4 linked regions of the Diceros bicornis minor genome follow. The protein of the gene in region 4 interacts with the protein of the main gene of each other region in a pairwise test. Links are inferred from orthologs where the notes say so. Each region holds a gene or a part of one and is shown on either strand. Other genes may lie near its edges.

Evidence for each region.
Region 1: the proteins of CWF19L2 (region 4) and TRIM37 interact in binary tests that used the Homo sapiens proteins (3 or more experiments, as listed by UniProt). The two-hybrid records come from large-scale screens. The link is inferred for Diceros bicornis minor from reciprocal best matches to the Homo sapiens genes CWF19L2 and TRIM37.
Region 2: the proteins of CWF19L2 (region 4) and MEOX1 interact in binary tests that used the Homo sapiens proteins (3 or more experiments, as listed by UniProt). The two-hybrid records come from large-scale screens. The link is inferred for Diceros bicornis minor from reciprocal best matches to the Homo sapiens genes CWF19L2 and MEOX1.
Region 3: the proteins of CWF19L2 (region 4) and SF3B4 interact in binary tests that used the Homo sapiens proteins (3 or more experiments, as listed by UniProt). The two-hybrid records come from large-scale screens. The link is inferred for Diceros bicornis minor from reciprocal best matches to the Homo sapiens genes CWF19L2 and SF3B4.

What each region holds. Positions count from the first base shown.
Region 1 is NC_080757.1:28,654,597-28,662,628, forward strand, and holds the start of TRIM37 (E3 ubiquitin-protein ligase TRIM37), read left to right. Parts: upstream 1-4,803; 5' UTR 4,804-5,248; coding exon 5,249-5,269; intron 5,270-5,538; coding exon 5,539-5,676; intron 5,677-5,693; exon of another isoform or gene 5,694-6,136; coding exon of another isoform or gene 6,137-6,142; intron 6,143-6,971; coding exon 6,972-7,073; intron 7,074-8,032. Other genes in the region: SKA2 (spindle and kinetochore-associated protein 2), read left to right, coding at 584-596. UniProt on the Homo sapiens protein: E3 ubiquitin-protein ligase required to prevent centriole reduplication. Probably acts by ubiquitinating positive regulators of centriole reduplication.
Region 2 is NC_080757.1:42,388,943-42,396,830, reverse strand, and holds the start of MEOX1 (homeobox protein MOX-1), read left to right. Parts: upstream 1-4,837; coding exon 4,838-5,306; intron 5,307-7,888. UniProt on the Homo sapiens protein: Mesodermal transcription factor that plays a key role in somitogenesis and is specifically required for sclerotome development. Required for maintenance of the sclerotome polarity and formation of the cranio-cervical joints.
Region 3 is NC_080743.1:54,472,218-54,480,190, reverse strand, and holds the start of SF3B4 (splicing factor 3B subunit 4), read left to right. Parts: upstream 1-4,717; 5' UTR 4,718-4,782; coding exon 4,783-4,816; intron 4,817-5,267; coding exon 5,268-5,396; intron 5,397-5,659; coding exon 5,660-6,202; intron 6,203-6,522; coding exon 6,523-6,729; intron 6,730-7,973. UniProt on the Homo sapiens protein: Component of the 17S U2 SnRNP complex of the spliceosome, a large ribonucleoprotein complex that removes introns from transcribed pre-mRNAs.
Region 4 is NC_080746.1:28,177,282-28,184,454, reverse strand, and holds the start of CWF19L2 (CWF19-like protein 2), read right to left. Parts: upstream 3,051-7,173; 5' UTR 3,021-3,050; coding exon 2,928-3,020; intron 1,344-2,927; coding exon 1,233-1,343; intron 517-1,232; coding exon 394-516; intron 1-393.

The sequences.
Region 1 (8,032 bases), on a different chromosome or scaffold from region 4:
TTTGTTCACACTTCTTTTTCAAAATACTTTTAAAATATAGCATTCAAACGTGACTTCTGGGCTGGCCCCATGGCCTAGTGGTTAAGTTTGTCACGCTCTGCTTCGGCAGCCTGGGTTTGGTTCCCAGGCGTGGTCCTCCACCACTTGTCGGCAGTGTGGTAGTGACCTGCGTATAAAGTGGAGGAAGATTGGCACAGGTGTTAGCTCATGGCTAATCTTCCTCAAGCAAAAAAAAGAGGAAGACTGGCAACAGATGTTAGCTCAGGGCTAATCTTCCTCAGCAAAAACAAACAAAAAAACAAATGTGACTTCTTTGGTTCTGTTAAATTCCAGTCTTAAAATTGTTTCTTGGTCTTATTTCTTCAACTTAATTGCAAGTGCTTTGGAAACTCCAACATCAAAGTACCTTGTATGTAGATAAGCAAATATCTATTTTTTCTCTGCCTTCCTAAATTTGTGATCACATACATACATAGTGTGAGCTTATGGAAACATTTGTTGGTGTGACAAAGGAGAAGTTAACTAAATCAATTTAACAGTCTTTAAAGCTTTTAAAATAAAGATTTTGTCATTTGTTTTCTAGTTATCACCACTGACTGAAGAAGAGAAAACTGCAGCAGAGCAATTAAAATCTCACATGTCAGATTTATGAAGAAATGGACCTGCAAGAGGGAACTCTAATGGAGAAGAGATCAATTCCAGAGAGGTTTAGGAAGATGTCTTGTTAGCAGTTGATAACTAGAGGTGGGGGGATGGTGAAGGAGAAGATTTGGCTTGGGTGACTGGATAGTGTGCCTTTCACAAGAGAGGGGAATATAGGAGGGGCAGATATTATATTAATAATTAGCCAAAAGGATAGAATGGGAATAAAGGGATTTAAAAAATATATGCACATACTCTTAGTCTTATCATTTCAGGCAAGGAATTCTCTTAATACTATTTTGCATCTGTTTTTGTATAATTAGGATAACATAGGTGTCCTGGCCTATTGTAAAAGAATATTTGTGTACTATCAGTCAAACGTGAATGAGCATGCTTTGGAAATTAAAGGATAGAAAAAATATTTGTATTATATATGTAGATAATTTTATTTTGGAAAATTTTGATTGCAAATGTGCTCACATTATCTGTGAGACTAATATGTGACCTACAGTCTCCTACAAAACCTAACTTTAGTAGTAAGCTGGCTTTTCTAAGACAGCCTCACTTTTGTTTCTTTTTTTCCTATTCCTTATGCCTACTAATGTTGAACAGCATGAGCTCTGCTTTCAAATGCTGTTTCAGATGGTCCCTCTTGTATTTCCTTTTTTTTTTTTTTTTGTGAGGAAGATCAGCCCTGTAACATCCAATTCTGATCCTCCTCTTTTTTGCTGAGGAAGACTGGCCCGGGGCTAACATCCATGCCCATCTTCCTCTACTTTATATGGTACGGCGCCACAGCATGATTTGACAAGCTTTGCTTCAGTGCACACCCAGGATCTAAACCTGCGAACCCCGGGCGGCAAAGCAGAGTGCTCGCACCTAACCGCTGCGCCACCGGGCTGGCCCCTCCCTCTTGTATTTCAATACTACCTTTGTTCTCTTTCAGCCTATATTACTATAGTTGTTCATTCTATATGAAAAGTAAGAAACTGAAATCAGAGGAGCACTGGCTATTGCTACTTGCCAGTTTGTGTGTGTGTGTGTGCGTGTATGTGAATTTCCCTATTTATTTTTAAATAACTATGGGCAATAAGGTAATTGTTCAAAGTAGGGACAGATCTTGATACAAAGATGTTAATCAGAGTTATCTATAATAGAAATACACATACATATCCAGCTACTGGTATCTAAATAGGAAAGGAAATCATGTGTATCTATACAATAAGAGGTCAAGTTGCCAATAAATTATTACTGTTAATGTTCTGGGAAATGCTGAAGCTATGCTAAATGGGAGAGAAGAGAAGCACATCTTGCAGTTTTATAGTTAAGATTGGGCTTTGGAGTCATACCTGAGATGTAAATAGCAGGTTTTCAAATCTGGCTATGTGACCTTGAGCAAATCACTTAACTTCTATGTGTCAGGATGGTTGGAAGCACAATGAGATGGTAAAGTGGTTGGGTCTGATATTTAGTAATCCTTCAATAAATGGTTTTTCCATATATGTAATAAAAATAAGGCATTGAAAAGACTAGGAAAAATGCATCAAATGTTAGTTCTGCAGGTTAGAGAATTACACTTTCATATAATTAAAAAAATTTCTGTTGTGAGCATGTAGTTGTCCATTAAAAAACTTATAATAGCTGACAGACACGGTTGGGAGAGTAGCTTCAGTTAAAATTGTCCTGTCTAATTTAAGAACAGAAAGCTCCCCTTTTTTAAATTACAGAGAAATAAGTCACACCTTAGTAACAGATATTAATTTTCTTCAGTATTCAGGCAATTAATATTAAGGAAGTTTCTGTTGGGGGATGGCCCTGGGATATGATATTGATTGGTGGGATTGAAAAATGATAGTATCATGAGGTCATAACAAGTTCCTGGTGTTCAAGTGGTTTTGCTTTCACTTGGGAAAAATACTAGACTGTACTGTTTTTCCTTCCTTCTCAGCTATCTTCGAAATGTTGGTTCTTCCCCTCATCTCCCTTAAAATTGTTCTCTATGCACTTCTTTATATATTCATTTGTTTCCCAAGCTTCATTTATTGTCTCTTTGTGGATAATTCCCAAATATAACTCTTGCACTAGATCTACATCCATATTTCCAATGAAAACCTTTACTTGAGTATTCAAATTGAACACGTCAAAAATACTTACTGATTTCGTTATTGGCCACTATTCTGGTTAGTTGATAAAATCTATAATTTTGTCTCTGGAATGTTCATAGTTTCCAACCTCCACTTCATTCTTACTACCCTAATTTAGACCTTTTATTTCCCATCTGGATAATTGTTTTCTCTTATGTGACTATAGTGTTTTTATGTTTTTAGTTGTAAGTAATAAAAATTAATTTTAATTAAGTTGTTTTAATGCAACTTTAATTTTAAGAAATTTAAAAATACAAGTGTGCCTATTCTCCAGAAGTAATCTGCAGTTTCTTCAGATGTTTCTACATGTATACAAATTAAATTTTTTTTCATTACAAAAATAGGCTGATACCACACATTGTACTGCAGCTGCACTTGGTTTTTTCATTTTAAATATATTTTGGATATCTTCATGTCACAAATCTGCCATTCTTTTGAACAGCTGTAATCCAATATATGGGTGTCCCATAATTTTTACTAGTACTTTATTGATAGGCTTTAAGCTGCATAATAGACAAGTTAGGAGATTTGTCTGGGGCAGGGGCAGTAATGGGGGGAGGGCAGTAAGGTCAGCCTTTAAGGAATTCTGATGGAGCAGATTACAGGCTTCCCAACTCCACAGTGTGTAGTTTAGCATCCTGCCAACTAACTTCTTTTTTGCTTAAGTTAGCCAGAATCTGACTTTGTGCTTGCAACCAATGACTAGCTGTACAGGTTTTCTAATTTTTCAGTTATAAACTATTGTAATAAATCCTGAAACGTTTTTGGGTTCTTGGGCAAATATATCTATTTGTACAAGAACCTATTGTAATATTTATCATATATATTTTAATTTGTCTTATTCTTTTCTACTATACTGGGTTGCAAAGACCATTTCTCATTACTCTTTGAATCTCAAGTAGTGTTCTATAAATTTTTTTGAGGTAAAATTCACATAACATAAAAATTAACCATTTAACATTATTAAAGTGTACAATTGAGGGCATTTTAGTACAAATGGTGTTGTGCTACCATCACCTCAATGTTGTTCCAAGACCATGAATAATTGTTGGTGAACGAATTTTTCCGTCACAGATTAATCTTCCTAATTTATATCTTTGTCCATGGCTCACATAGTTTAAAAAAATTGTTGTTATCCACTACTTATAAGAAAGTCCAAATGCCTTGATACCAAGAACTTCTTTCTAGATTGTTGATTCTCTACATGTGCACTTTAGGTTGGGTTAAGTATAGTAGGTATTTGCAACAAACCAGAATGGAAAAATTAAGTTCAAATTAAGAATTTGATGTACGTCCTTTATCTCACACCTTCAATTCCTGCAATCGTTAAACATCTCTTATGCTAGAGAATTGTAGAAAGCAGACGCCAATAGAAGAAAGTTGAAGACAGCTGATAACCCTTGTGCACTTTCCATAGTTCCAGAGTAACAGCTCACCTCAAGCGGCAAGAAATGCAGGGCTGGGGTGGGGTGGGGTGTGGTATCGGTCTGATGTCTACACAGTCTGCGGTCTTTTCCTCCCACCCCGAAATGAGAAGCCCCACCGGTCTAAGCTTCATGATCTGGAGCTTTGCTTGCGTAGGTGGGGCGGAAGTCTTAAAAACCTGAGAATCTGGGCTTCCTCCCCGAGAACGAACTACCAGCCGAGAATCCTTTGCACCATGGTTTCTCAAAGCGCGGGCCACAGAGTGGTTGTTGAAAACGTGGATTGCATGGAGCCCCACCCTAGAATCACCGAGTCCGAATACCCAAGGGTGTGGCTCCGGAGTCGGCGTTCTCCACTAGCACACCAGGTGCCTCCGGTCATTGGCGCGCAAAACTTTGAGACGGGTGGAGCGCTGCCCCTCCCCCGAGGGGGGCGGGGCGAAGCGAAGCGCTAAGCTCCTGGCCGCCTGCGCTAGCCTGGGGCCGAAGGCACGCAACCCTGCGGCAGCGAGCCGCCAAATCTCGTCTGCGCACCCGCAACGCGGGAACTAGGGGTCCGCCCCGCCGCTGCACTCCCCTAACGCAGCGTCCTGCGCGCATGCGCGCCGCGCCTTCCCTAGCCGCCGCGGCTCCAGCTGCCCTGGTTACCGTTGGTGTTTGCGAACTCCCTGCACCGCCGTCTTCGCTGGAGACCAGCGCCGCCCGGCTGTAGCAGCGGTTCGATACCCCGCGTCACGTGGGCCGAGACTCCCTCGCGGTCGCTGGCGGGCGGCTGAGCCGGGAGGAAGGAGCTGCGGCCACAGCTCGCCCTCCCACTGCGCCCTGTGGCGGGCTCGCGAATAAAAATGGCGAAGGGGGGGTAGCTGGCGCCGAACCCGAAGCGATGGGGCGCGCAGGTGGGACAGTCGTCGGAGCACCCTGACGTGGGCGCCGGGCTGTTCTCCGCGGCGATTTGTCCCGGCGACCTCGGGCCGGCGCCTTCTAGGTCAGTCTACGGACTCCGCGGGTCGCCAAGGGCCCCGCCGAGAGCCGGAGGCAATGGATGAACAGAGCGTGGAGGTGAGGGGGCTTGAGGTGGGTGGTGGTTAGTCTACCCCCCGCCCCCCCCGCTAAGCGTTCTTTATTTCTTTATCCGGGGCGCTTTGCCCTAGTCCTCCCTCTGGTAGGGCACCCCACCCTGCCGCTGTGGAGAGGGCCTCCCCCCGTGCGAAGGACACAGCGCTTATTTGCAGCCTTCCAGGTGCCTTGTGCTCTGGCCGTTCCCGCAGTCAGATGGTTCGTATCCTGGCCTTTTCTGGATGTCTTGGCACCGGTATTCATCCCCACAGGGTTTTTGCAAAGTACAGCGTGTGCAGAGCAAAACTGCGAATTCATCAGATGGACGTGCCCTGCGACTCGCCACCAGTTCTTGCGAGTTTACGCGCGGATCCACATCTTCCGAATGGACAAATCATTCCCGCCCAGCGGTACATTTTGCAGCCCTTCCTAGATTGAATGAAGATATACTCTTACTATCCTATTTGACTGTAGTTTTCCGGAAAAACCTATTATTTTTATATCTGACTCTTGTAAGCTGTGATTTCGAATGGTTGGGATATTTACATTAAGGCTAGCAACATAAAAAAGATTGTTTATTAGACTCAATTATATAATAATTGTCAAATTTTGATCCTTCCAAGTACTAAATCTTTGCTTCTCAGTAAGGGGCAACTATGTTACTGGGCACTCCACTTGGAACTAGTTAACCCAGTGGTCGTATTGGCCACCCCCCCACGTCTGCATGTCACAGGTTCTTTCTGGTCCTGCAGAGTCATGATGAGACTCATGAGTAATTTTTTCCTTAATTCCTCGTGTGAAAGTATCATAAAGGTTTTGTAACCTTACCTTGGTTTTGGGAGAGTTTAATTCTCCTGGAATGGAGTCAAAATGAATGTGAGTACTGTAAAAACAAACATAAAATATATAATAACCTGTATTTAATTGTATCTGTTTTCTTGTCAGTTACTTCCTAAATTGATTCATCTAAGGCTTGCAAAGATAATACTGCTTTTTCTATTTATGTAATTTTTTTTCTTCCCAGAGCGTTCATAGAGCTACCACCAAAACTCAATAGGGGCAGAATCTCAGGCTCAAATAAATAGCTAGTTGGTTTCAGCATCAGGGCAGAAATTTGGATTTCTGGATTCTGAATTAGTTTTTCTCGTGATCAAAGCACACTGCTATTAGGATATGTATCTTTTTAAACCTTTTTTTTTAAGTTATAAAAGCAGTCCATCCTCTTGGGGAAAGTGCAGAAAACAGTAGAAAGTTCATATTGTTCATTCAATTATATAGTTTTTTTTTCTTACTGTTATACATCATAAGCATTTTTCTGTATCATTAAATAATTCAAAAAATATTTCTAGTGATTATCATAATCTGTATTAACTGCCATAGTTTAATTAGTATTTGGATATTTGGGCTAATAGCCAGATTCTTGCCATTATAATTAATGCTTCAGTGAAAATATTTGTGCATAAGTCTATGTTTGCGTTTCATATCTTTTCCTTAGAATAGAATCATTGAAAGCTTAGAAAAAAGGAAGCACCTTTTCCAGGAGACGTTCTCAGGTACCCTGGACCTTGACTAACCAAGTCCTGATATGGTATAAAGTTATCAGCCCAAAATAAATGTAAATATTGAGTGAATTATTTTAAGCATGCCTTTTACTCTTCATGCAGTAGCCTAATGTGGTGGACTTTACATCTTTTACTATTTTCAGAGCATTGCTGAGGTTTTCCGATGTTTCATTTGTATGGAGAAATTGCGGGATGCACGCCTGTGTCCTCATTGCTCCAAGCTTTGTTGTTTCAGCTGTATCAGGGTAAGTTGTATTTCTTTTTACGTGCATTTAGTATATATAGGATATATCGTAAAAAGTAACCTTTTCCTTTATCTTTTTTGTATTTTACATTTTGGACCCTTTTTAAAAATATCTTAAATGAGGGGCCGGCCCAGTGGTGCAGCGGTTATGTGCGCGGGCTCCGCTTTGGCGGCCCAGGGTTCACAGGTTCGGATCTCGGGCACGCACCAATGCACCAGTTGTCAAGCCATGCTGTGGAGGTGTCCCATATAAAGTAGAGGAAGTTACTTTAGGATGTTAGCCCAGGGCCAGTCTTTCCCAGAAAAAAAAGGAGAATTGGCATCGGATGTTAGCTCAGGGCTGATCTTCCTCACACACACAAAAAAATCTTAAATGAATATTCCTTAAGACCGTCGATGTATATTGTTTAGTACAGGGAGATGAATAATCATCAAATGATAACTGCCATGAAATGTCTGGAAATCAAAGCCCAGTGTAATTTAGTATATTTACGTTAAGTCACTGCACATTTAACAAGTAGTTATGAAGTGCTTGCCTGCATTGTGTTTGTGGTTGAGGGATGTTAAGATATGTGAGAAAGTGTTTGCCCTGAAGGAGCTTAAATCTAAGTGAGAGGATGGACTTTGAGTTTATGTTGAAGAATGTGTAGTGTCATAAAGAGGCGCTAACATGGGCCGGCCCCGTGGCTTAGCGGTTAAGTGCGTGCGCTCTGCTGCTGGCGGCCCGGGTTCGGATCCCGGGCACACACCGACGCACCGCTTCTCCGGCCATGCTGAGGCCGCGTCCCACATACAGCAACTAGAAGGATGTGCAACTATGGCATACAACTATTTACTGGGGCTTTGGGGGAAAAAATAAATAAATAAAATTACAAAACTTATAAAAAAAAAAAAAGAGGCGCTAACAAAGTGCTATGAGACTCAGAGGAGGGAAAGTTTAGACTTGTTTGATGGGTGGAA
Region 2 (7,888 bases), on a different chromosome or scaffold from region 4:
ATCTCAAAGATGAGTTTTGCCTTTGATTAGGGTTTCCAGATTTAGGGGAGAAAAAAAAGGGACACCCAATTAAATCTGAATTTCAGATAAACAACAAATCACTTTTTAGCTGAAGTCCAAATATTGCACGGAACGTAGTTGACGGGGCTCCCTGTATTTTATCTAGCTGCCCTAACTTAGAGCGTTTCCTTGACATCAGCCTGCCTCTGACTCCTTCAGGCACAGAAGCCCTGGAAGGGGCGTGTTTAAGGAGCACCTCCTGAGTGCCCGTCCATGGTCTCTACAGCAAGTCTCCACTTTTCAGCTGAGGAAACCGAGGTCATGTGACCTTCAAGAGCCAGGGTTCAGATGCAGGCCACTCTGTATGCTGTCGGGTTTTCCAGTCATCTGCCTACAATCTTGGTAGCAGACAAGCGATGGTCCTCACCAGAGGTTTAAAAAATATATACAGGAGAGAAAACAGTCATCTGAGGAAACTGTCTCTATCGGCTCAGTGTTTTCTGGGATTTAGGGAAAGACCCCATCGTTGGTTCTCTAGGGTGGAATGTCTTGGTCCCACCTCGCAGGCGTCGCAGGGGAGGCTGTGACAGTCGTGAGAATTGTATTCTGCGGTTTACTCCACTGTGTCCCGTCCATCCTATTACTTGAACCTCACAAAAGTCTTATAGGGCAGTAGTGACCCTGCCTCTAAGGCTTCTGAGAAGCAAAGGACATATACATTCTAATAAACCCCACGCCTGGTGGTAAACATCCTAGTCCAGAGCCATTTCCACCATATTCAAGCTTGTCTGTCTCCTGTCCTGTCCCTCAGGGTCTTGCTCGGGAAGAGGTGTCTCATCTGGTTCACATGTTGTACTATGAGAGTTAATACTAATGGCTCCATCTTGTCCCTCTTGGGTGGCATATAACTATTTCACAGGGCCTTCTGGAGTTGTCTTTAAGGCAAAAATCTCAGGTATTTTCATCACCATCATCATCATCATCCAGAAATTATCACTAAAAAGTATATACCGGGCTGTGGCAAGAGCTCTCCTAGATCGCCTCCTACACTTCTCTCAGCAACCTAATGGGGAAAGAAGAAAGAGTTGATCCCCATTTTACAGATGAGGAAACTGAGGCTCAAGTGATAAAGTGAGTTGCTCAAAGTCATTCTGCTTATTAGTGACGGAGCTTGGATTTGAACCCATGCTCTCCTAATTCCCAAGGCCATGATCTTGACCCTCTGTTATGTTGCCGTAGAAGAAGGTCCTGGAGGGCTAGGATGGGCCATCTTCATCCTCCATCGAGACGTGACCTGTCCAGTGGTCCAGCAGAGTAAGGAAAGAGAAGCCATAATCATTCCCCACGTGCCTAACCTTTTACAACTCTTTTCACAGACATCAGTCCATTTATCCTCAGAACAGCCATGTGAGGCTGGTACTGTCATCTCCATTTCACCAGTGAGAAAACTGAGGCTCAGAAAAGGGGTGTGACTTGCCTGAGACCACACAGCCGATGACAGGCTGTGTGGCCTTCACACCTTGAGCCCGAGTCTTCTGCCTCCAGTCCCCAGGTTCTCCCTGGGACACCCTGCCACTCCAGGCACAGGTGGGTGGGGTGGCCAGGCATGGAAGCAGGTCTGCGGCTTGGGACACGCCCGCTTGTGGCGCACAATGGGGGAAATTCCAAAAGCTCTTTGCGATGGCTCAGGTGTGGGCACGCGACAGTCCTCCTCTGGGACCCTCCCCCTGACGCACACTTTCCCTTTTCCTCCCCGTGCCACCCCTAACAACAACCAGAAACGGGGTCCCCTCCCTTCCTGAAAACCCTGCTCCCCTTGGCCGCACGGCCACAGGGCTTTTTTCCACAAACAGCCACTTCCATCCATCTCTGTCCCGCGGGCCGCGGGGCCTCGATGGGGAAACGCCGACTTTGAGGAGGTTAAAGGTGCTGGTGCCCGGCCTTCATCTAACAAATGGGTTGCCGTGACGGGAGGAACTCTTGTTGTTTTTTCCTGGCCTCCGAAGAGGGGCCTGTCAGGAAGATGTAGAGGCCAGCAGGCCCCCGGCCGCGCCCCCGCGGGGTGGCTGACAGACGCCGGCAGCTGCGGGGCGCAGGGGTGCCAGGGCCCCCCCACAGAGCCACAGCACCCCCGCCGCGCCCCCTCCCCGCTGCCCCTCCTGACCTCTCCGCCCACCCCACCATGACCCCGGGCCCACCCCTTCCAGGGGCAAAGGGCCAGGCGCTGGGCCTCCCTGGGATGGGGTCTCTGGGCCAGATGCAAGGCCAGAGCAGGAATCCGGTTACAGCCTGCGGGCCAGGCCCCTGGGGAAGGTTTTCCTAGGAAAGCTGACAGGCCAGATCTTCCTCCCAGCCTTCTATGGATTCCTTCCAGAGCCCCCACAGCCTGGGACCCCGCGAGGGACCTCACAAGGCTGTTTCTGTAGAATTTCCTCAGTGCTCCCCAGTCCCACAGTCCCCCTTCGGAATCATTGAGTTAAAGAGAATGAGATATGCTAGGAAGGGAGCCGCATTTATCTATCACCTGCTTTGCACTTCACATGAATGATTTGTTTAAAATTCTCCAATGTCTGTGGAGTGGGCATCCTGATGGAGTGGAGCCAGGCTGCCTGGGTTGGAATCCTGGATCCTCCACTCCCCAGCTGTGTGACCCTGTGCAGGTTACACAGTCTCTCTGTGCTTCAGAGTCCTCTTCTGAAAAACGGAGGTGATGAGAAAAGCACTTGTCCCAGAGGGCTTTTGTGAGGATCCCCTGGGGGAATATGTGTGAGGTGCTAAGATCAGCGGATGAATGTCAGCTCTGACTATCATCTCAGATGAGGAAACAGAAGCTCAGAGAGGTGGGGCGACTTGTCCCAGGGCACACAGCCAGGAAGTGGCAGACCCAGTATTTGAACTCACACCTGTCTAACCCCAAAGTCCATGCTCCTTCTTCTGCATCAAGCTGCTCCAGACTGGACAGCTGGACACTTGAGGGCAACTCCTGGTTCTGCCATATCTTAGCTGTGATTCTGAGCAGCCCACATCATCTGTCTGAGCCTCATTTTTCTCATTTGTAAAATGTAGAACATAATTCTGACTTTACCGACAATAAGAGAGTTGTGAGGTTGAGAGGAGAAACGTGTATGCAACAGCCAAGTCCTGGACAAAGCAGAGAGATGAGTCTGGTTTGTGGCTATGACTCCATCTCCTCTACTGGCCTACGACACTCTGGCCGCCCTTTCCAGAATGCAGGATGCCTATTTCATGAAGAGAGTGTGTGCCACCTCCAGGCTGCAGAGCTAAGACCCGTGGCCCCTCCTCAGGGAACCCTGGGCATCTTTGGAACCAGCCAGCAGAGACACTGCTATTACGGTCCATGCCTATTTCAGCCTGATCTTGCTGCTCCGGGCCACGGAAATATTCGGTAGGAGAGGAGCACTGGCTCCGTGTGCTTGGAATGTCGTCCTCCAAGAAATTACATTAACCCTCCAGAAAGACCAGCAGGGCATGAGGACTAAGGAGACTGATGGACCGGTCAAGATGGCAATTGGTCCTCCTGTGATAGGCACCAGCCAGGAAGACCATGTGACTGTTTGCCCAAGACAATTCCTTTGGGAATGAGAATCCCCCTGATTCCTATTTCCATGCCCCAGATTCCATGGAAGCTTTGGCCTCGGGGGGGGTGGGGCAGGGGAAGCAGGTGGGTGAAGGTTAGGGGGGCCAGGGAGCAGGTGGGGGAGGCCTGGAGAAACTTCAAGGACCTCATCTAAGAGCCTTTCCTTTACCATGGAGAAAAACGACTTGAAACCCCTCTAGAGAAGAGTGTGGCTAATTGGCATGTAAGTTGGGGGTTAAAGAGCGGAAGGAAGAATCTGAAAGTTTTTTTAAGTTGCTGAGAAAGTGAGACTGTCACTTTGGGCAGAAAGAAATCATTTTTTTCTGGAGTGTGTCTTTCTTTATACTACAGACCATAGTGGGCCGCTGAGACTTGCAAAAAAAGATTTCTTTTAATCCACCTCCCTTTTTGCAAGCGGCAGTAGAAGGGCCCTTAAATCAAATGCAATCAGCAAACTTGTCTCTTGCACTTATTCCCCTCTTCACTCCCTGGAATTTGGCACTTGATGGATTCTGGATCTGACTTAAGGCTTTTTCCAAATCCAAGACTTGGGGAATTTTGTTAACAGTGCAATAAAATAACTTCATAGTGTTACAGGAGGCACATTAAAGAAGTTGTGTGTGTGTGTGCTGCTCTCGCTCCTTAAAAAAAAAAAAATACAGACAATGTTTCTTTAAAAGTCTCCATCTGCAAATCCCATTAGATGTGCATATAAGGTTTCTGATGATTAATAGTTGCCTGCTCGGGTTTTGGTTGGAGGGGATCGTGCGTGTGCAGGTTAACCCCTCCCTCTCCTCTCTCACATTTCACTTCAGAAATTTGTCACTCTCTCCCCACCGCAGGATTTAAAAGTGTGTCTCAGCAGCCCTGGTCCAGCCCTCTGCAGGGCTCCAGGACGAGCACTCATCAGCTGGTGCATCTGGGCTGGGACAGTGAAAATGTTCAGTGTCATCGGTGATAAATACACGTACAGGGGACCCCGATAAGCAGGCTGGTGTGTCAGGGGGACAGGAAGCCAGGAGAGAAGTCCGACATAGGTGTGTGCACACGTACGTGTAGCCAGCCACGTGTGTGCATACTTTAAGGAAAGACTTTAGTTTTTGTTTTGGTTCCTGGGGTGAATTTTCTGTTGAACATTTTTCCCTCTTGTTTAACTTTTTTTTTCTGCATTTAAAAAATTTTTAATATAAAAAGTATAAGAATCAAACCGAAAAGACGGAGGCACGCAGCAGACGGCAGATGGATCCCGCGGCCAGCAGCTGCATGAGGAGCCCCCACCCCCCAGCCCCGGTCTGGGGCTGCCTTCGGAATCCCCACTCGGAAGGCAATGGGGCCTCGGGGCTACCCCACTACCCGCCAACCCCGTTCTCCTTCCACCAGAAACCAGACTTCCCGGCGACAGCAACAGCAGCGTACCCCGACTTCTCAGCCTCCTGCTTGGCGGCCACCCCACACAGCCTGCCCCGGGAGGAGCGTGTCTTCACTGAGCAGCACCCCGCTTTCCCACAGCCCCCCGACTGGCACTTCCCTGTCTCGGAAGCCAGGCGCAGGCTCAACCCGGGCCCAGCTGCGAGCTCCAGGGAGATGGGGGCCAGCAGCCCAGGCCTGGTGGACGCCACGGGAGGCCCAGGCGAGGACTACGAGGTCCTTGGGAGCACTGCCAACGAGACGGAGAAGAAGTCAGCCAGACGGAAAAAGGAGAGTTCAGGTAGGTGGCTGAGGAGCAGCTGACCGTTCCTTTACTGTGTGACCTTGGGGAGGTTGTTTGCCCTCTCTGAGCCTAGCTGCTCTGACCATGAATTGCGAACAATACTATCTAACCTACCCAAAGGCAGGAGTTAACTTCGGGGTTTCTTCTACTCAGAGTTCTAGGATTCTCTCCTGATGGGGACCCTGTCTATATCCCCTGTACTCCTGGGCTCCAGGAAGGATGTACCAGCAAGAGAATGAAATAGGATCCACAAAGATTTGGAGGATACGTGGGATGGAGTGTCTGGGTGCAGGCTGGCAAGGGCTGAAGAGGGGCTTTCCTGAATCTGGGCTACCTCTGCATCATGCTTCTCCCCACCATACCCTGGCCAGCTCCAAATGGTCCCAGAGCCACAAGGTTTGCTCACCAGGGGAGTGAGCTGAGACGGAGGCTCAGAAGGCTAGGACTGAGGCTGGGACCCTGGGTGGTCAAAGAGAGCCAGGACCCTGAGTGGTCAAGGAGAGCGGGACCCTCCAGGAGCCTAGAGGCAGAGAAGCAGCCCTAGGGCTGGGATGGTAGAGGCAAGGAATGAGAGGGAGATGAAGCACTGAGATTCAGGACAGATGGCCATGAGGTATCACCCTGCCCAGCTGGGCCATGCCCAGGCCAAGGGGGCAGATCAGCGTGCTAAGGCCTGGGTGACCCCCAGGGAAGGCCACCCCTCTGAGGAGCCCTCCTGAGGCATCACCAGCCTTGGGGAGAGTCAGGGAGGTGGGCAGCCAAGGGCAAGCTCTAGACCTCAGCTTGCAGGTAAAGCCCCGCTCGGCGCTGGAGCCCCAAAGGCCAGAGGACAGAGCTGGCCTGCCTGTTAAGAGCCCAGCTAAAGTCCATCTCCTCCCCACAGTGGGGACCCGTTGTTTCCGCATCTCCCCATGGGGCTCTCCCCAGCTCCTCTCACCACCCGGTTACCTTTTGCCTGGAACAAGGCAGTGCCTGCGCCTCCCTCCCCCCCTGCCCGCTATGCCCTTCTGACAGCCACTCTAGGGGCAACGTCTGTCTGTCTGAACCTATAGAGAACCTTCTCCTGGGGCTAACCAGGGGCAGGCAGAAAATGAGAGTGCCAACCAATCAACGAGGACACTGTGCTTTGCTTTACAAGGCACTTTCCATGTAGCACAGACTTCTCGAGCATCCTCGCTTTGCCAAGCACTGGCCCAGGCCCTGGGGATGCAGAGATGAATAAGGTGGTCTCGCCCCCAAGGAGCTCACATTGAGAGGGAGGAGAGGCCTGCAGAGGCCTGTCTGGCAGTGGATGTGCTATGATCGGGGAGGTTCGAGGTGCTGTGAGAAATGTATGTTAGCACTTTTGAGTCCCTCCAGTTTGCGAGGTAAGTATAGCAGGTCTTATCAGCATCTCGGTTCTATCCGTGTGGAAAAGGAGAGATGGAAAGTTTGAGGGGAACACTGCTAGAATGGAGTCTAAATAGAGTGACCCCTGCATCTCAATTTGCCCAGGACTTTTCTGGTTTTAGCACTGAAAGTCCCGTATCTCAGGAAACCCTCTTAGCCCCAGGCAAACTGGGACAGTTGGTCACCCTAGAAGCGAGCTCGAACCCCGGGCTTCAGACTCCAAATCCTACACCCTGCAGTAGATTTCAAGCACAATCCTCCTTTTGAAATATTCAGTCTCCATGCTTGAAGAAGCCCTCACCGTGTTCACAATGGATGATACTGACCACAGCCCTCCTGGCTGCTCAATCTGAGGGCCCTTTAAATCCCCAGCCAGTTAAATCCGGACCTATTCCTAGCCCTGGTTGGAGATTTGCTGAGAATGGGCACTTTCTGCTTCTCCTCTCCAAGGCGCTCTCAGTGACTTGGCTCTGCACCTGGCTGAAGAGCTCTCCCCTGTGTGGCGCCTGCCACCGTAGCTCCTCCCTCTCTGCCCACATCTCCCTCGGCTGCCTCCAGCCACTTTCCAGGGAACTGGGAGCCAAGGCCTTGGGAAGGCATGGGCAGAGCCAAGGGCTGGGCTTAGGCAGAATCATTCTGTGTTTCAGCAAGACCCAAATGCGCCGTCTTTCCCTTTGGCCAGGGGCCATGGCGCTGCATTAGGGAGTAAGCTCACGTGCCAGGCAGCTGACCACCCCAAGAGCACATGGACACCCTCTGCTTAATGCCCTGTACTCTTCACTGGTCGGGGGAGGTTCCCATCCAGGAGGGGCCCTGGGCTCTCCCTTGAGGTCCCCTCAGTCGCAGCAGCAATGGCAGCAGTCGCACAAGGCAGGGCACAGCAAGCTGACTTTCATTCATTCTCTGAGGTTCCAGGCCCACTCTCTGTTCAGCATGGAAATCTTATCACTCAGTTAGTTGCTTGAGTCTTCCTTTGGAATTTAACTGATGGGGAAGGAGGCGGGAAAGATTAGCTTTGTAAGAGCCTAAAGAGAGAGCAAAAGGATGAGCAAGGCTCACAACCAACTCCAGGAATCTGGGATTCAGCTTAGAAGAGACAAACCGCAGAGAACCCCCACCCCAGCCCACCAACCCTGAGTCACTGGTTGGATTCTCTCTCTATCTAGAATTTTGATATTCTATTCATTATG
Region 3 (7,973 bases), on a different chromosome or scaffold from region 4:
CATCACAATTTAATTTTGGAAACTTCATGGCCATTTATAGTTGCTTCTCATTCCTATCCCTAGCCCTAGGCAACTACTACCCCACTTACTCTTAACCCTTCAGGCTGTAGACTCTGAATCCTGAGTTCTGATCTCTTTGCCCTTCTAACACCTCTATTCTTTATCAGATTCATCTGTAGCTGAGGATAAATGGCTCTCAGCCCTGGAAGGAACACGATGGTTGGACTATGTCAGGTACTCCCTTTTTCTGGCCATCATTTATAATTCGACCCTCTCCAACCTTCTGTTAACTTGGACTCCTAAATGGCCTTCCATTAACTCTTCTCCTTGGTTTCCCAAGAAGACTGTTATTTGCTGCTCCTTAGAAGGAGCTGCCTGTTTCATCCCAGGACCCATCACTCCCTCCCTTCAGGCTTTTCATTCTTCCCTCCCCTTCCTCACCTGCCCCTCCAGGTCTTGTCTTCGAAAGGCCAGTGACATCTCAGTCTTAGTGACATCCAGAGTTCGCTCTGTAGTACTTCAAGGTGAGTTTCTTGGGTCAACTCCCTCCATTCCTTGCCTTTTTCCTTTACCCACCTGACTGGTTCTGCTCAGAGAGGGAGAACTATAAGGCTTCCTTGTTCCCTTCTAGTGCTAGCATCCTCCTCTCCTGTTACTAGGAACTACCCATGAGCTCTAACTCATCCTTCAGTGCTACTTCTGCCTCCCCACTAAGCTTGTGGTCCCTAACAGTAGGGTTCTCAGCTCTCTGTTCCCGTCCTTCCATCAGTGGATGGGGATTGGGATTGGGGTGGGAAGGACAATGTGGAAGCTGGTTTGAGATTTGTGATTCTGCCTCCTACATGTGAAGCTGGGTATTTCTATCCAAGTGGAGTCTATGAAGTGAATCATTCAAGGTCTTTGTTTTGTCTTCACTTCTATGTGCCCTCTCAATCCTAACTACCCAAAACTTTTCCCCTCTGTGCCTCTTACTTCTTCTTGCCGTGCTTCCTTTTCTCATTCTCTTCTGCCCTAGTTTCTTGGTCCCTCCTTCTTTGTCCCTTCTCCCTCTTTATCACCCAGAGCGCGGTGATCGTGATTTCAATGGCCTCCTCTCTTCACTCGTCCAGCTGCTTTCAGCCCCTGAAGCCCGAACACTGCTTGGCTTCCAATCACTAGTGCAGCGAGAGTGGGTGGCAGCTGGACATCCCTTCCTGACCCGACTTGGGGGAACTGGGGCCAGTGAAGAGGTGAGAATGTTTTGGGAGTGTTTTGGGGGGGGGGGTATTACTAAAGAAGTAAGGGGATGAGAAAATTATATAGTATAATCCATTGGAGGTGAATCAGGTCAGAAGGGTCCTGAAGTTAGGCTGAGCTTGAAGAGAGACCCAGATGAGTGAGGGACCACAACCCTTTACACTCAATTCAGATTCCATTCCTGACCTTCCTACTGGCTCCTGTTCCCTGTGTCTCTCATCCCGTCATTTTGTCATCCTCCCCTTCTAGGTCCCCACAATCTCTTCCAACCTCGTAATTTCCCTCCTCAGGCCCCAGTGTTTTTCCTCTTCCTTGATTGCGTCTGGCAGCTCCTCCAGCAGTTTCCAGCTGAGTTTGAATTCTCTGAGTTTTTCCTTCTTGCTCTTCAAGACAGTGTCAGGGTTCCTGACACCCTTACATTCTTGAGAGACACTCCCTGGGAGCGTGGAAAGCAGAGTGGACAGGTCAGTGACTTCCATTTTTGACTTGTCTTTTTTTCCCCCATTGAGAAGTACTCTCTGAATTTTAGTCTTGATTTATGAAAAGTGAGGTCTGTCGGTGGGAAAGGGGGAGGTTGGCACTCACTCTCAGGACCCGACTTTCACTCCATCTGATTCTTGGAGTAAGAGATAAGAGTTTCATGATTTCTCTATAGACGTGAGAGAAGGATTATATTTTTTTATGTTTGTTTAACCATCCTTTTTCTTGTTTCTTCTGTCCAGTTCAACTCCTATCCACAAGTCTATACCCCAGGGTACTCCCAGCTCCCAGCTGGGAACTCTGTTAACCCACAGCTGTCTGTCTGGGACTGGGATTTACGCTACAGCAATGAACAGATACTACAATTCCATAATCCTGGCTATGACCCGGAACACTGCCCAGATTCCTGGCTCCCTAGACAGCAGGTGAGGTGTCTAAATTTCCTAAATTCCCTTGACTGTCTCACAGACTCATCCTATTAGATGGCGAGAAGTGGAAAGGCACAGTGTCTGAGTTCCCCAGGGAAAGCTATCCCACTCCTCTTCTGTAGCTGTTATTTATAGTCGCTGTCCCCAGGAAGACAGAAATCCTGGAATTGCACAGAGGGCATCCTTTTTGTCCTCCTCATCTCCTTTCTCATGCACACATTTTACAAGTTTCCCTAAAGTCAACTTTAATCAGTCCTGAGGTCTAGTCTGAAACCTAATGAGGAGAGTAAACAGAGTTCTCAGGGGTAGGCTTGTAGTTCCATCAATAGTGCAGTGTGAGTGGGTGGTTGCTGGGCATTCCTTCTTGACCCGGTTTGGGGAAACTGGGGTCATATGGTTTCCAGGTTGCTAGTTGATTTCTCTTTCTCCTTTAGCCAAGCTTCATGGTTCCTGGACCCCCCAGTTCTGTGTGGCTCTTCTCTAGAGGGGCCCTGACCCCCCTGAATCAGCTCTGCCCTTGGCGGGACAGTCCCTCCCTGCTGGCAGTCTCTTCTCGTTGGCTCCCTCGACCTGCTATCTCCTCTGAAAGTCTAGCTGATCAGGAGTGGGGGCTCCCCTCACATTGGGGAGCTTGCCCTTTACCCCCAGGGCTGCTGCTGCCTGGATATCTGGGACCCCAGATCAGACTCTGGAGACGCTGCTACCTGAGGGGAAGGCCTGAGGTCCAGGTGAGTAGGGAAGACAGGGATTGGGAGTGGGAGAAGGGGCTTGACTGCTGAACTAGATGATCCAAGAGAAACCAGCTATTTCTAGGAGCTGGAAAGGCAAGAGGCTGGAGGGACTGGGAAGTCAAGTTCTATTAGTGTAGGTATCCAGGTGGATACATTTGGGAGTGTGGGGCACGGGGGAACCTGCTTGTGACTTAGATCAAGTGGAACCTAGGGCATAAGTGGAGGGGGAAAGAGAATTAAAGACGCCAGAAGCAGTGGACAGATCTTAGAAGCAGAGAGCTAGAGCTGCAATAATATTCCTCTCTGCCTCTCTTCACCCCACCCCAGATGGGCCTCTCGGCTCCCACAATCTCTGGCCTCCAGGATGAGCTATCCCATCTTCAAGAGCTATTAAGGAAATGGACACCAAGAATATCTCCTGAGGATCACTCCAAGAAAAGAGATCCAAATACCATTCTCTCCCAATCCCGTTGAAATTGCTGGCTTTCTCATGGGCAGGGCAGAGGGCAGTCTACGATGGGGAAGGGTTCCTCTAATCCTTCAGTTTTTCTTATCTGGTCTTGCTGCCTCAGCTTTTACACTCCAGCCCTTAAACAAGCTGGCTGACTTGTTTCCATTGCAGATGGCGGGGTGCTAACCTTCTCTAACTCTTGTCCCGTCTCATTTGTTTCTTATAATTTGAAGAATTAAGAAACAAAAACAATCCAAAGTATGATCACCTCTTTTTTTCAGGGAAATTGCATCCATTTTGGATATCCAGCTGTTAAATTGTGAGATAAGAGATGCTATTCAACAGTCCCAACAAGAAGGTCTACAGACCTCAGTCTCACCTCCTCTTGCTGCTTCTTTAACTCTAATTTCTATTTCTTCCCTTACAGTTTTCTATGGGTATGTGGAGTGGATATGGGAGACACCCTGTCTCTTCCAATTGTGTATTTTTGTAGTGACATTTCTATTAATGAGTTCATTAAAGCTCAGTATTTATACACACTGCTGGCATAGTTTCTTGTGTTTGAATAAAAGATCCCAGGTAAGTGGTGGATGGAGGGTGGCTGTGACCCAAGAGAAGGCGGCACCCACCACATATTGCTAAGGAAATAAGGGTATGTGTCAGGTGAGGCTCTGCAGAATTCATATGCAATTTGGGAAAAGTGTTCTCTTTTCTGTGCCTCTCATTTAGGGGAAACATGGGGCAAAAGCATACCAAGGTGTTGTCGCTGCGGCGAGCGGTATGTTCTGGACGTTAAGACTGAGGACCCCGGGCGTCAGTGTCAACCGCCCTCAGCTTCGGTCGCACTCCATCTCTGAGCCCCAGGTTCCCCTCACCCCCCTGTGCAATAACGATTCGGTGAACTCATACGTCGCTCCAGCTCAGACATTCCGCAATCCCCTCCCCTGAGGGAAAACGAAATACCTGAAGCCCAGCCCGGCGGTGAAGCCGCATCTGCCCAAAGGCGGCTGCCCGGGGTGGAGAGCTGCCTCCGCGCTCGAAGCAGCCGAGTCCTTGGGGTGGGGGGGTTCCTCAGCACACCCTTCTCTGGGGAACAAAAGAAGGAACATTTGGCTACAAAATATATGAAAAGTAAAGTTTTGTTCTTTTAGGTTTCGAATTTACACTTTTGGGAGCAGTATAACCCTTTAACGTCTAGCACTTCTTAAGACGGTCTGAGCATTTCCCTTCCGCCTTCCCCGCCCTCCCCGCTCGCAGCGGCACCTTAACACAAAACCAGCGACTGGAGAACTGAGCGCCGTCTCAGCGGCTCCCAAGATGGCCGCGGCCGCTTCCGGCCCCTCCCCCGCCGGGGCCCCACCCACAGCCTCCCGTACGCCTTCGCTCCGGAAGTGGAAGTAGTGACTGAGTTCAGAGGGCGGAATCGCTGCTTGGAGGCGGCGGGACGTTTTTCGCCATGGCGGCCGGGCCCATCTCCGAGCGGAACCAGGGTGACTGGAGGGGACAAGCCCGGAATGGACTCAGGGCGGCTGGGAGGTCTCGACTAAGGCCAGCAGTGTTTCTACCGGGGCGGGAGACTGAACCTCCGCGGAGGGCGCGAGAGCGGCCCCGGTGCCTGCTGGGGGCGGGGTGGCTGGGTGCGGGCTGAGGCCTGTAGGTGTGATGCTCTCTATATCCAATCCCCTGCTGCCTTCCCGCTCCAAAAAAAAAAAAATTCAAAAAGAATTTGCGGCAGAACTCTTAGACTTCAGAAGATTCTCCAGTTCCTGGAAAGAGAAAGGTGTAAGGGCTTAATCTAACGTCTTTTTTTTTTTTTCTTTTTGCTCCTCTGCCTTATCTTCACTCTCAATTCCCCCGCCTGGATTCCATCTTCATATTTCTGTCACCTCCTTTGCTGTCATACTCTCATTTCTGCTCTAACTTCCTGCTCCCGCCCTCCAGATGCCACGGTGTACGTGGGGGGCCTGGACGAGAAAGTTAGCGAACCACTGCTGTGGGAGCTATTTCTCCAGGCAGGGCCAGTAGTCAACACCCACATGCCAAAGGATAGAGTCACTGGTCAGCACCAAGGTGAGTACATGGCAAGAGTGCATTTGGCTGTTGAGGGGACAAACTGCTCCTGGAGGACCCCAGCAGTATTCACAACTGTTTTGTAATGAGCAACCTAAAGATTTCTTTCTCTTAAGCCTAGCTCACAGTTTGTTTCTGGAACCATTCTCAATCAAAGTGAGATTATTATTTCTTGTTCTTTGTGCTTTCGGAGGTGAATGACTTTTACACCATTTTAAATCACTTCACGTAAGTTGTTAACCTCCTCTCTTCCACTTCCCCAGGCTATGGCTTTGTGGAATTCTTGAGTGAGGAAGATGCTGACTATGCCATTAAGATTATGAACATGATCAAACTCTATGGGAAGCCAATACGGGTGAACAAGGCATCAGCTCACAACAAAAACCTGGATGTGGGGGCCAACATTTTCATTGGGAACCTGGACCCAGAGATTGATGAGAAGCTACTTTATGATACTTTCAGTGCCTTTGGGGTCATCTTACAAACCCCCAAGATTATGCGGGACCCTGACACAGGCAACTCCAAAGGTTATGCCTTTATTAATTTTGCTTCGTTTGATGCTTCGGATGCAGCAATTGAGGCCATGAATGGGCAGTATCTCTGTAATCGCCCTATTACCGTGTCCTATGCCTTCAAGAAGGACTCCAAGGGTGAACGCCATGGCTCAGCAGCTGAACGACTTCTGGCAGCCCAGAACCCACTCTCCCAGGCTGACCGCCCCCATCAGCTGTTTGCAGATGCACCCCCTCCACCTTCTGCCCCTAATCCTGTGGTATCATCATTGGGATCTGGGCTTCCTCCACCAGGTAAAGCTTTTGATTTAAAATATGTTTGTCTTGGGTTGGGGAAGGGAGGGCAGGAGGAAGGAAAAAGAACTTGATAAAGACAGACATTGAGTCAGTGGGTCGTGAGAAGGCTTGAGGGATGATGGTTGTGGTGGGGAAGAAAACTGTTGAGTTTCTCCAGAAAGTTGAAGTTGTATGAGTTGCCTAACATTGCTTCTGGCTTTAGAGGGCTGGGAGGAGGGGAAAGGAGCTCATCCTGCCTGGAGAGGCGTGATTGGAACTGGCTCTCTAAAGATAGTCTCTCCTCACTAGCATTAACTCTTCTTCCATTTCTTCTATAGGCATGCCTCCTCCTGGCTCCTTCCCACCTCCAGTGCCACCTCCTGGAGCCCTTCCACCTGGGATACCCCCAGCCATGCCCCCACCACCTATGCCTCCTGGGGCTGGGGGACATGGCCCCCCATCAGCAGGAACCCCAGGGGCTGGACATCCTGGACATGGACACTCTCATCCTCACCCATTCCCACCCGGTGGGATGCCCCATCCAGGTGGGTGTTCTTTGCTGAGAAAGGGAGGGATGAGCTTCATAGAGGAGCTCTATCATCACTCATGCTGCTGCTTTTTATCCTTCAACAATAATAGTCCCAGAGCTCTCCTTTCCTTCAAACGTTCATTTACAAAAACAAACACAAAACTCTTTACTGTGTTTACTTTACCAATTACCATCCTGTCTCGATTTCTTAGTTAAGTTTTTCCAAAGAGTAATCTATACTTGCTGTTTTCTGTTTCCTTAACTTTTATTTCCATTCTCTCTGACTTCCATTCAGTGCAGTGACCTAATTGCCAAATTAGGGGACATTTCTGCTCCTTATCTGGTTTGACTTTTGCTGTACTTGAAACCAGCCATGTCCTCCTGTTTGGAAATCTTGTCTCTTGGTTTTTCTGGATTCTCCATCTGTCTGCCTGACTCCTCGTTCTCAGCCACCTTAATAAACTTCTTTTTCTCCGCTTGTCCCTAGGTTTTTGTGCTTGGTTCTCTGTTCTGCATAGTTCCATTACTTTTACATTGATGCCTCCTAGATCTATATTTCTGGTCCATCGTTATTAACATTTCAGATCCTTAATCCTGCTGCTTAATAGACAGCTCCACCTTTTTATCCCTCCCCTTCAAATCTATTCTTCCTGTAGTATTTGTTTTCAGAAATCTTGGAGCTATGTTTGACTATTACCTATCACCCCACTCTTAATACCAAGTCTTATTAATATCTCTGGCAACAGCCCCCACTGCCAGTGCCCTGGTTAAGGCCCTCATATTTTCATTATTTCATACCTAATTTATTGTAGTAATTTCCTAGGTGACACTTTGACTCCAATTTCTCTACTGTTGATCCAGTTTCATGGTAATTTTTCTAAAACACAGATGTTCACACACCCTTGCTCAAAATTTTTCTCTTGCTCCCTTTTACCTACAGAGTGAAACTCAGAGTTGTTACCATAGCATTCTAGGCTTTTTGTGATCAGGCCCCTGCCCATTACTCCTGTGACTGCACGCTGCTCCTTTATTACTGAGTTACTCATTTTCCTGGAACGTACTGCGCTGTTTGACATACCTGTGATTTTCACATGCTAATCTTTTATGCCTGGGATGTTCTATTCCCACTCTCTTGTCCACCTGAAAAATTTTTATTCATCCTTTAGAATTAGATCTTTTCTCAGAAAATGTTTCTTCTACCTTCTCAAATCCTGGCAACACAATAATCACTCCTTTGTTATATACTTCGGCAGCAGTATT
Region 4 (7,173 bases):
TGGAACTCTTTTCCCTTATTTTTACAGTACTACTCTTTCCTGCTTCTCCTAATTTTCCAGCTACTTCTACTCAGTGTCCTTTACTTCCTGTCTAGCTCCTTGGTGTTGAGTGTTCTTCTTTCCTTTCAGTTTCCCTAGGCAATTCATCCATTCTACTGGCTTCAACGAGCAGTGATTCCCAAATCATACCTCCATCCTCTCACCTTTCTCTGTAACCTAAGATCCTTATTTCCAATATTTCTTGAACATCTCCAAGTAGATGTCTCCCAGGTATTTTCACACCCTAACTGGTAATATTTTTTAAGTTCTCATATATTTTAAGTTCCCATACATTGTTCCTTTAAATACAGTTTTCTCAAGTAGCTGCTTTGGTCAGTTTTAGTACATACTTACTGATGAACTATCAGTTGACTCATTGTTTTTTTCATACTTTTGCTTCTTGCTCTTTTTTTTCTTCTCTTTCTTTACTTTTTTTGAATGCTTATCTTTTTTCTTCTTTTTCTTCACAGAGTGTTCCTATAATCATTTTGAAGAGTAAGAAAGGAATTTAGTTTTAGCTTACTTTAAAAGGAAATATTTTAAGGGAAAAAAAGATCTATGTTCCAAAAAACTTTATATCTTTCATGAAATGAGACAAGGAATATAACTAAATAAAATCTTCTAAGAAACTTGAACATGCTTCTGTAACATATGCACTACTAATAAGTCATATAGCTGAGATTTCTTATCAAAAAAAATGAGAGAAGTTTTAGTTTTATTTGTAGATACATCTGACAGACAGATATAATCAAATAAACACATATACACACAAACATAAACATACATACGTACATATCTTTCTAGGGCTCCAAAAGTATTTACAGATTACTAACCATATAAAATATAACAAGATAGCATAAATTACAGGAAGAGAAAACAAGGATTCAGACAAAAAAAAAAGACATTAAGTTTAAAATGCATAATTTTTTAGACACATAAGCTTGCTACAAGTGGGCCAGAAATTTGAAGCTAAGCTTTCTACCTGCCAATTCAAGTAACAAAATCTTTCCAACGTCATAATGCCCACAATATTAAAATTATTTATGCCAGAAAAACTATTCAATAATGCCCATATGGGATATTCATTCTGAAACTTGTGAAAATAGTCGATAAAGTTGCTCCTCCAATACTAACTTGAATAAGTACAAAAAAAGACAAACATGCTTACATCAGGTAAACATGTTAGTATTCACCTGTGAGAACTGTTCAATTCGCTCATTCACATCAGGTAGCATCCATGTATCCTCACCCCGAAGTCGCTTAAGTTCTTTACGCCTTTCTTCTTTTTCAAAATTGGCTTTAGCCTAAAACAATGAAAAAAGAAAAATTAACAACTGATCCAATCTCTTTTCACAAAAAGTAAAACAAAAACTTTCACTTTCATATAAGGCTCATGAATGAATTGTCTGTCCCTCGCCAGGAATGTGCTTCTACCAAAGTATAAAGGTTTAAAAAACAAAAATCTCTCGTTCCACATGACCAATCATATTATCAATCTCTAGTGAATTCAGCCGCCAATCAAGGACAGAATCTGGGACCTATTCCAGACCCTCTTCTCTCTCTAAGCCCCCTACCTTAAATACAACTTGAATCTCTTTTATCTTCACCATCCCACTGCTACTGCCTGAGACTTTTGTAAATGTTAGGAGACTGACCTGCACATTTTTAATCCTCAATGCCCATACCCCTCTACTCACACTCCCAAAATGCTTCAGAAGGAATCATCTTTCTCAAAACAAATGATTATATTCCTAACTTTTATTCAACCTTCAACAACTGTCAAATAAAGTAAGTTCTTCCTAGGAGGTTGTTCCTGCCCTTTCATTCTCTCCCCAAACTCCAAAGCTGGGTTTGGTCCTTCTCAAACTCTATGCATAGCTCTACTATAAAATTTATCACAGCTTACAAACCCCACTCCAAAAAAACACCTGAAATATCAAAGAGACAAGGATGAAGAATATTTATTATATATTAAATATGGTACAATCAGGGATCAATACCAACCTTTCACCTATCCAAGACCGACAGCCCACTCTTCCCCTTTAAAATCTGGCTGTAGTCATTATGCCTTCTCCTTCCTGTTTCCTCTACCAGCTCCTTTTCATTTGCATTTAAACTCGTTTTAAACTCTTCCATCTTAAGCAAAAATAAAAACCCTCACTTGTTATACCATATGTTTCTCTCCAACTACAACTTTTCTCCTTCGTTGCCATACTTCTTACATCTTGTCAAATAATTCAGTACAGTTTACTTCCTCCTTTCTTTATAAGTTACCTATACGTATCTCAATCTCAATGAGAAATACGATGTTTCCCAACATTTTTCAGGGGACTAAATTTTCTGGTTCTCTTGCATCAATCCTTGATTTGACCAGTAAGGGTTTACAATAAGCCTGAAATTGATACCAATAGTAAACAGAAGAATAAAACGGTCAAACACAGTCTACTCCAATGCTCCTTACATGAGTTCCTGAACACGGAAAATTTCATTTCAAATACTGCAAAAACGAGGACTGAGGCTATGAAATATGCTAGGAGAGTCGGTATTAGCGGCGGCGTCCCTGGAAAGTGCGCAGCCCAAATGATAAGGTGCCAGAAATGTCAAGAATGGATGATTTAAAAGGCAAAGAAACTCAGAAGAAAGAAACAAGCCTTCCTGAAAAAGAGTGTAAGCAACCGGAGCTTGCCAGAGCACCTAGGAGGTGGGAGGTACCCAAGAGCTTACGGGCATCCCAAAGGGAGACCCCACCCACGCACCCAAATAAAGGTGAGATACTGAGGGGGTGAGAGAAGAGAGGGGGCGGGAAGGGAGGAGAGGCAGAGGCCTAGCTCCCAGGAACCCCCCTCTCACAATTCTAAATGGTTCCAAAAGCCCCAAAACGGAGGTACCTGGCGCAACACCTCGGCCCTAGCAATCCGGGTGTGTTCCTTACGCTCTTCGATGCCCTTCGCACTTTCAAATCTACCGGACGCAGCCGCCATAGTCGCTGTCGTCGTAAAGCGAGGAAGCCGTCACGAAATCTGTTTACGACTGTCGTAATTTAATAAACAAACGGAGACTTCCGATTGTGGTTGGAGGGGCGCTGCTCCATTAACAGAGCATGCGCGGATCTGAGTGTTGCTTAATGTTCTGGTGATCCCTTCAGCTCCAGGTTTTAAAGGATAATTGAAAACCAAACTCGGGAGTTGCCCAGCTTCGTATATTGAGATCGCACCGAGCAAGATTAATGTCACAGTACATTTATTACGCACTTTGGGCAATACTAACGGCATTCTCACCTATTTCCTCTTAAAATCACCAGAGTAAATTAGAAGTTCATAAAGGTTAAATCCGTACCTCTCAAAGATTTCTACCGAAGTGCCCTTCTCGCCAAAGTTTCCCTGTGCTGGGGAAATGGGCTGAAGGGAGGCTGGCCAGAAAGGCTGTGCAAGCTAGCAGGAGGGCAAAATTGCTTCGAAGAGTCGGTGTTTTGCTTTGGTGAACTACTTCTTAAGTATATGAGAAAGTCTTGTGAATTTTGCATTATACTTCATAATTTATCCGTGCTTATTTAAACTGTTGTTTCACATTATTTTTTCTCCGACCTCATATTATATGTTCGTACTTATCCATCCAAGCATTATTCATTACAGTGTGCAATTACCGATTTATTTGTGTGATTTTTTTTTTTGTTTTATGATACAAACGTAAAATCTCTCTCCCAAACATAAAACTTTAAGTTGCATGTTGAGTAAGACATTCTGAAGCACTGATCAAGTGCTTTGCGAGTATAAAACACTGAGCTTACATTTATAATCATAAAGATAAAGAAGACTGGACAATAATTATAAACTAGATACTTTAATGACATTAAAAAGAGTTAACATAAACTAGACAGGTAAATACGCTTTCTTTTCAGGTTTCATAAAACTGAATTTGTGTTTGCAAGAAGCTCTCCCAGGAGTTTCTACTTTACCTAATCTATGAAAATCTTAACTCTGAGCATGCAGTGTTTACACGTTTGATATACAAAATAGAATGTACTCTTATTTTTGTTACAGAAAAGTGAATTTTAATTTACGAATTGGCCTTGAAATATTTAACCCACTAACTGTGCCTTGACTGATTATGTCATAATTAACTCTAATGGCATTAAAGTCTTTCAGATTCTCTTGGGATTCAGAAAAACATCATTCCCCCCCCCCCGCGTCAATTATGGGGCAAATAAAAAGAAATAGTGATTATAGCAGAAACATGCAAAATTATATGACAAAAACTTTCAACCCTACTTACAGCACAAAAGACTAGAACAAATGGAGAGGTATAGCATGTGCTTGAAGAAGGCTCAACATCATAAAGAAATCTATTGTCCATAAATTAATTTGCAAATATAATGCAATACCAGTAAAATTGCCAACAAAAAAATGTTGGGATCAGAGAGGGGAGCTAGATGGGGTGATATAGAAAAATAAGGGAAAAGCAAGTTGTTTTGACTAGTTTGCATTTGACCACACCTAATAGAAATCCAGAGTTTAATCAAACAAGGGGTGATGTAATAAGGAGCCTGAAGGTAGCTGGTCCAGGCTTGGTGCAGTTGCTGAAGGAAACAGGTTGTTTCTCCTTTTCTGCGTTGTAACACTTAGACTGTAACTCAAGTCTTCATAGTCGCAAGAGTGCGTTTCGTTCTTCCATATCTGCATATGTCATCGATTAAGACATAGGAATTGTCATAGAGCAAAAAGTGTATGCCAGCTAAGCCTACTCCCTTTTTTTTTTTTTTTGTGAGGAAGATCAGCCCTGAGCTAACATCCATGCCAATCCTCCTCTTTTTGCTGAGGAAGACTGGCCCTGAGCTAACATCTATTGCTAATCCTCCTCCTTTTTTCCCTTTTTCTCCCCAAAGCCCCAGTAGATAGTTGTATGTCATAGTTGCACATCCTTCTAGTTGCTGTATGTGGGACGCCGCCTCAGCATGGAAGGACAAGTGGTGCGTTGGTGCACGCCTGGGATCCGAACCCGGGCCGCCAGTAGTGGAGCTGCACACTTAACTGCTAAGCCACGGGGCCAGCCCCAAGCCTACCCCATTTTTAAGTAGAACAATGATGACTTTGGTAAAGCCTACTCCACTTTCTCCCATTTAAATCTTATGAACCAGAAGTAGATCACATGGCCACAACTAACTACAGAAGAGTCATGAAGATTCCAGGACAGTTAGGATATAGAATGACACTCAGCTTGGGTTTGTCTGAGGTTTCTTTGTGGTTAGATTCAGGTTAGCCATCTTGGGCAGAACTGTCACAGAAATGTGACTGTGTTCTCATTGCATCCTATCAGGTAACACACAATTTCCATTTGTTCATTACTAGTGATATTTACTCTGATCATTTAATTAAAGTGGTATCTGCCAAACTTCTCCACTGTAAGATTACTCCTTTTCCCTTTGTAATTAGCAAGTATTTTGTGAGGCAGTTTTTTGAAACTATGCAAATTTCTCATCAGACTTTCAAATTATTTATTTTTATATCAATATGGACTCGATTTCTATTTTTATTCAGTAGATTCATATTTTTATTCAGTGAGATAATAATACATTGTTATCAGTATTTATTTGATGCACAAATTGTCCCAGTTTTAGCCAGGGAGAGCCCCTTCAAGCTGGTTTCTGTGTCCTTTTCACATGCCTCCATATTCTTTGAGTGTTTCTTTATTTGCTAGTACAAGAAGATAACCTAGTTTCATTTTGTATTTTCTCTGCCCAAGCCTTGGAATCAGCCCATTTTCCAAGAATCCCTGGTTTATTTTTGTTTAAGGTGGTATTTAGAAACTGTCAAATAAAAAACAAATCTAGGGCCAGCCCCAGTGGCCCAGTGGTTAAGTTCGGTGTGCTCCACTTTGGCGGCCCAGGTTTGGTTCCTGGATGCAGACCTCCACCACTGTCTGTCAGTCGCGATGCTGTGGTGGCAGTTCACATACAAAAAGAGGAAGATTGGCAACAGATGTTAGCTCAGGGGGAGTCTTCCTCGGCTTAAACAAACAAACAAAAAAATCCAGACTTTGGTAAGGAAAGAGCACAGGAGCACAGGGCTCAGGTTAAGTTCAAAATTGTCAAAGCCAAGATCTGGACACTAGGTATGCTCATTAACATTGGGGTGTTGTTGCTCCCAGGTCCTTTCGATGGACAGAGCTAGGAGGAAAGATACATAGATACAGACAAAGATCTAGATATAGACACACATAAATGACTATACTTCTATATATGTCTATATATATTGAAACCATGAGTTCATACAGATACCTCCAATTCCAATTCAATACCACAGAGTTCATTCTAGTTTTCTTCATTTCCACATTTGTAACTCCATTCTCCAACATGGATAAACCTAATTCCCATTATCTTTAATATATTAACTTATTTGATCAATTATCCAGTATGTAACCAGTATCTGTTGCCATAACCACCCCCCTCTCTTGCACAGATGCCCTTTTCACCCCTCTGAAACCCTGAAATCCTGTGCCAGGTTACCCCACTCAGGCTCCAACACCCTGAACCAGGCCATCCTCCCACACAGATACACTCCTCACCCTGCTTGGGTCCTGATTCCCATGTTCCAGAGGCCCCTCAATCCACATGAGCACCCTTCTCAACCCATTTGTGCTCTGAGCTACTTCCCCTCCACTCACCGACACAGATGCCTACCTCATTCAGCCCACCAAATGACTTTGGGACTGAATTGTTCTGGAAGAAAATGAAAAGGAAAGGAACTGAAAGAGAAAGATGACTTAAGCCTCTTTTAAACCATAACAATTCTCACTCACCCCTCTTTTATTTTCAGGCCATTTATTTATTGAAGAGATTGGGTTCCTTTTCTATTAGAATATCCCACATTTGGGGTTTAGCTTATTGTATCTTTTTTTTTTTTTTTTTTTTGTGAGGGAGATCAGCCCTGTGCTAACATCTGCCAATCCTCCTCTTTTCTTGCTGAGGAAGACTGGCCCTGGGCTAACATCCGTGCCCATCTTCCTCCAATTTATATGGGACACTGCCACAGCGTGGCTTGCCAAGCGGTGCGCCAGCGTGCGCCGGGGATCTGAACCAGCGAACCCCGGGCCACAGCAGCGGAGCGCGTGCACTTAACCGCTTGCGCCACCGGGCCA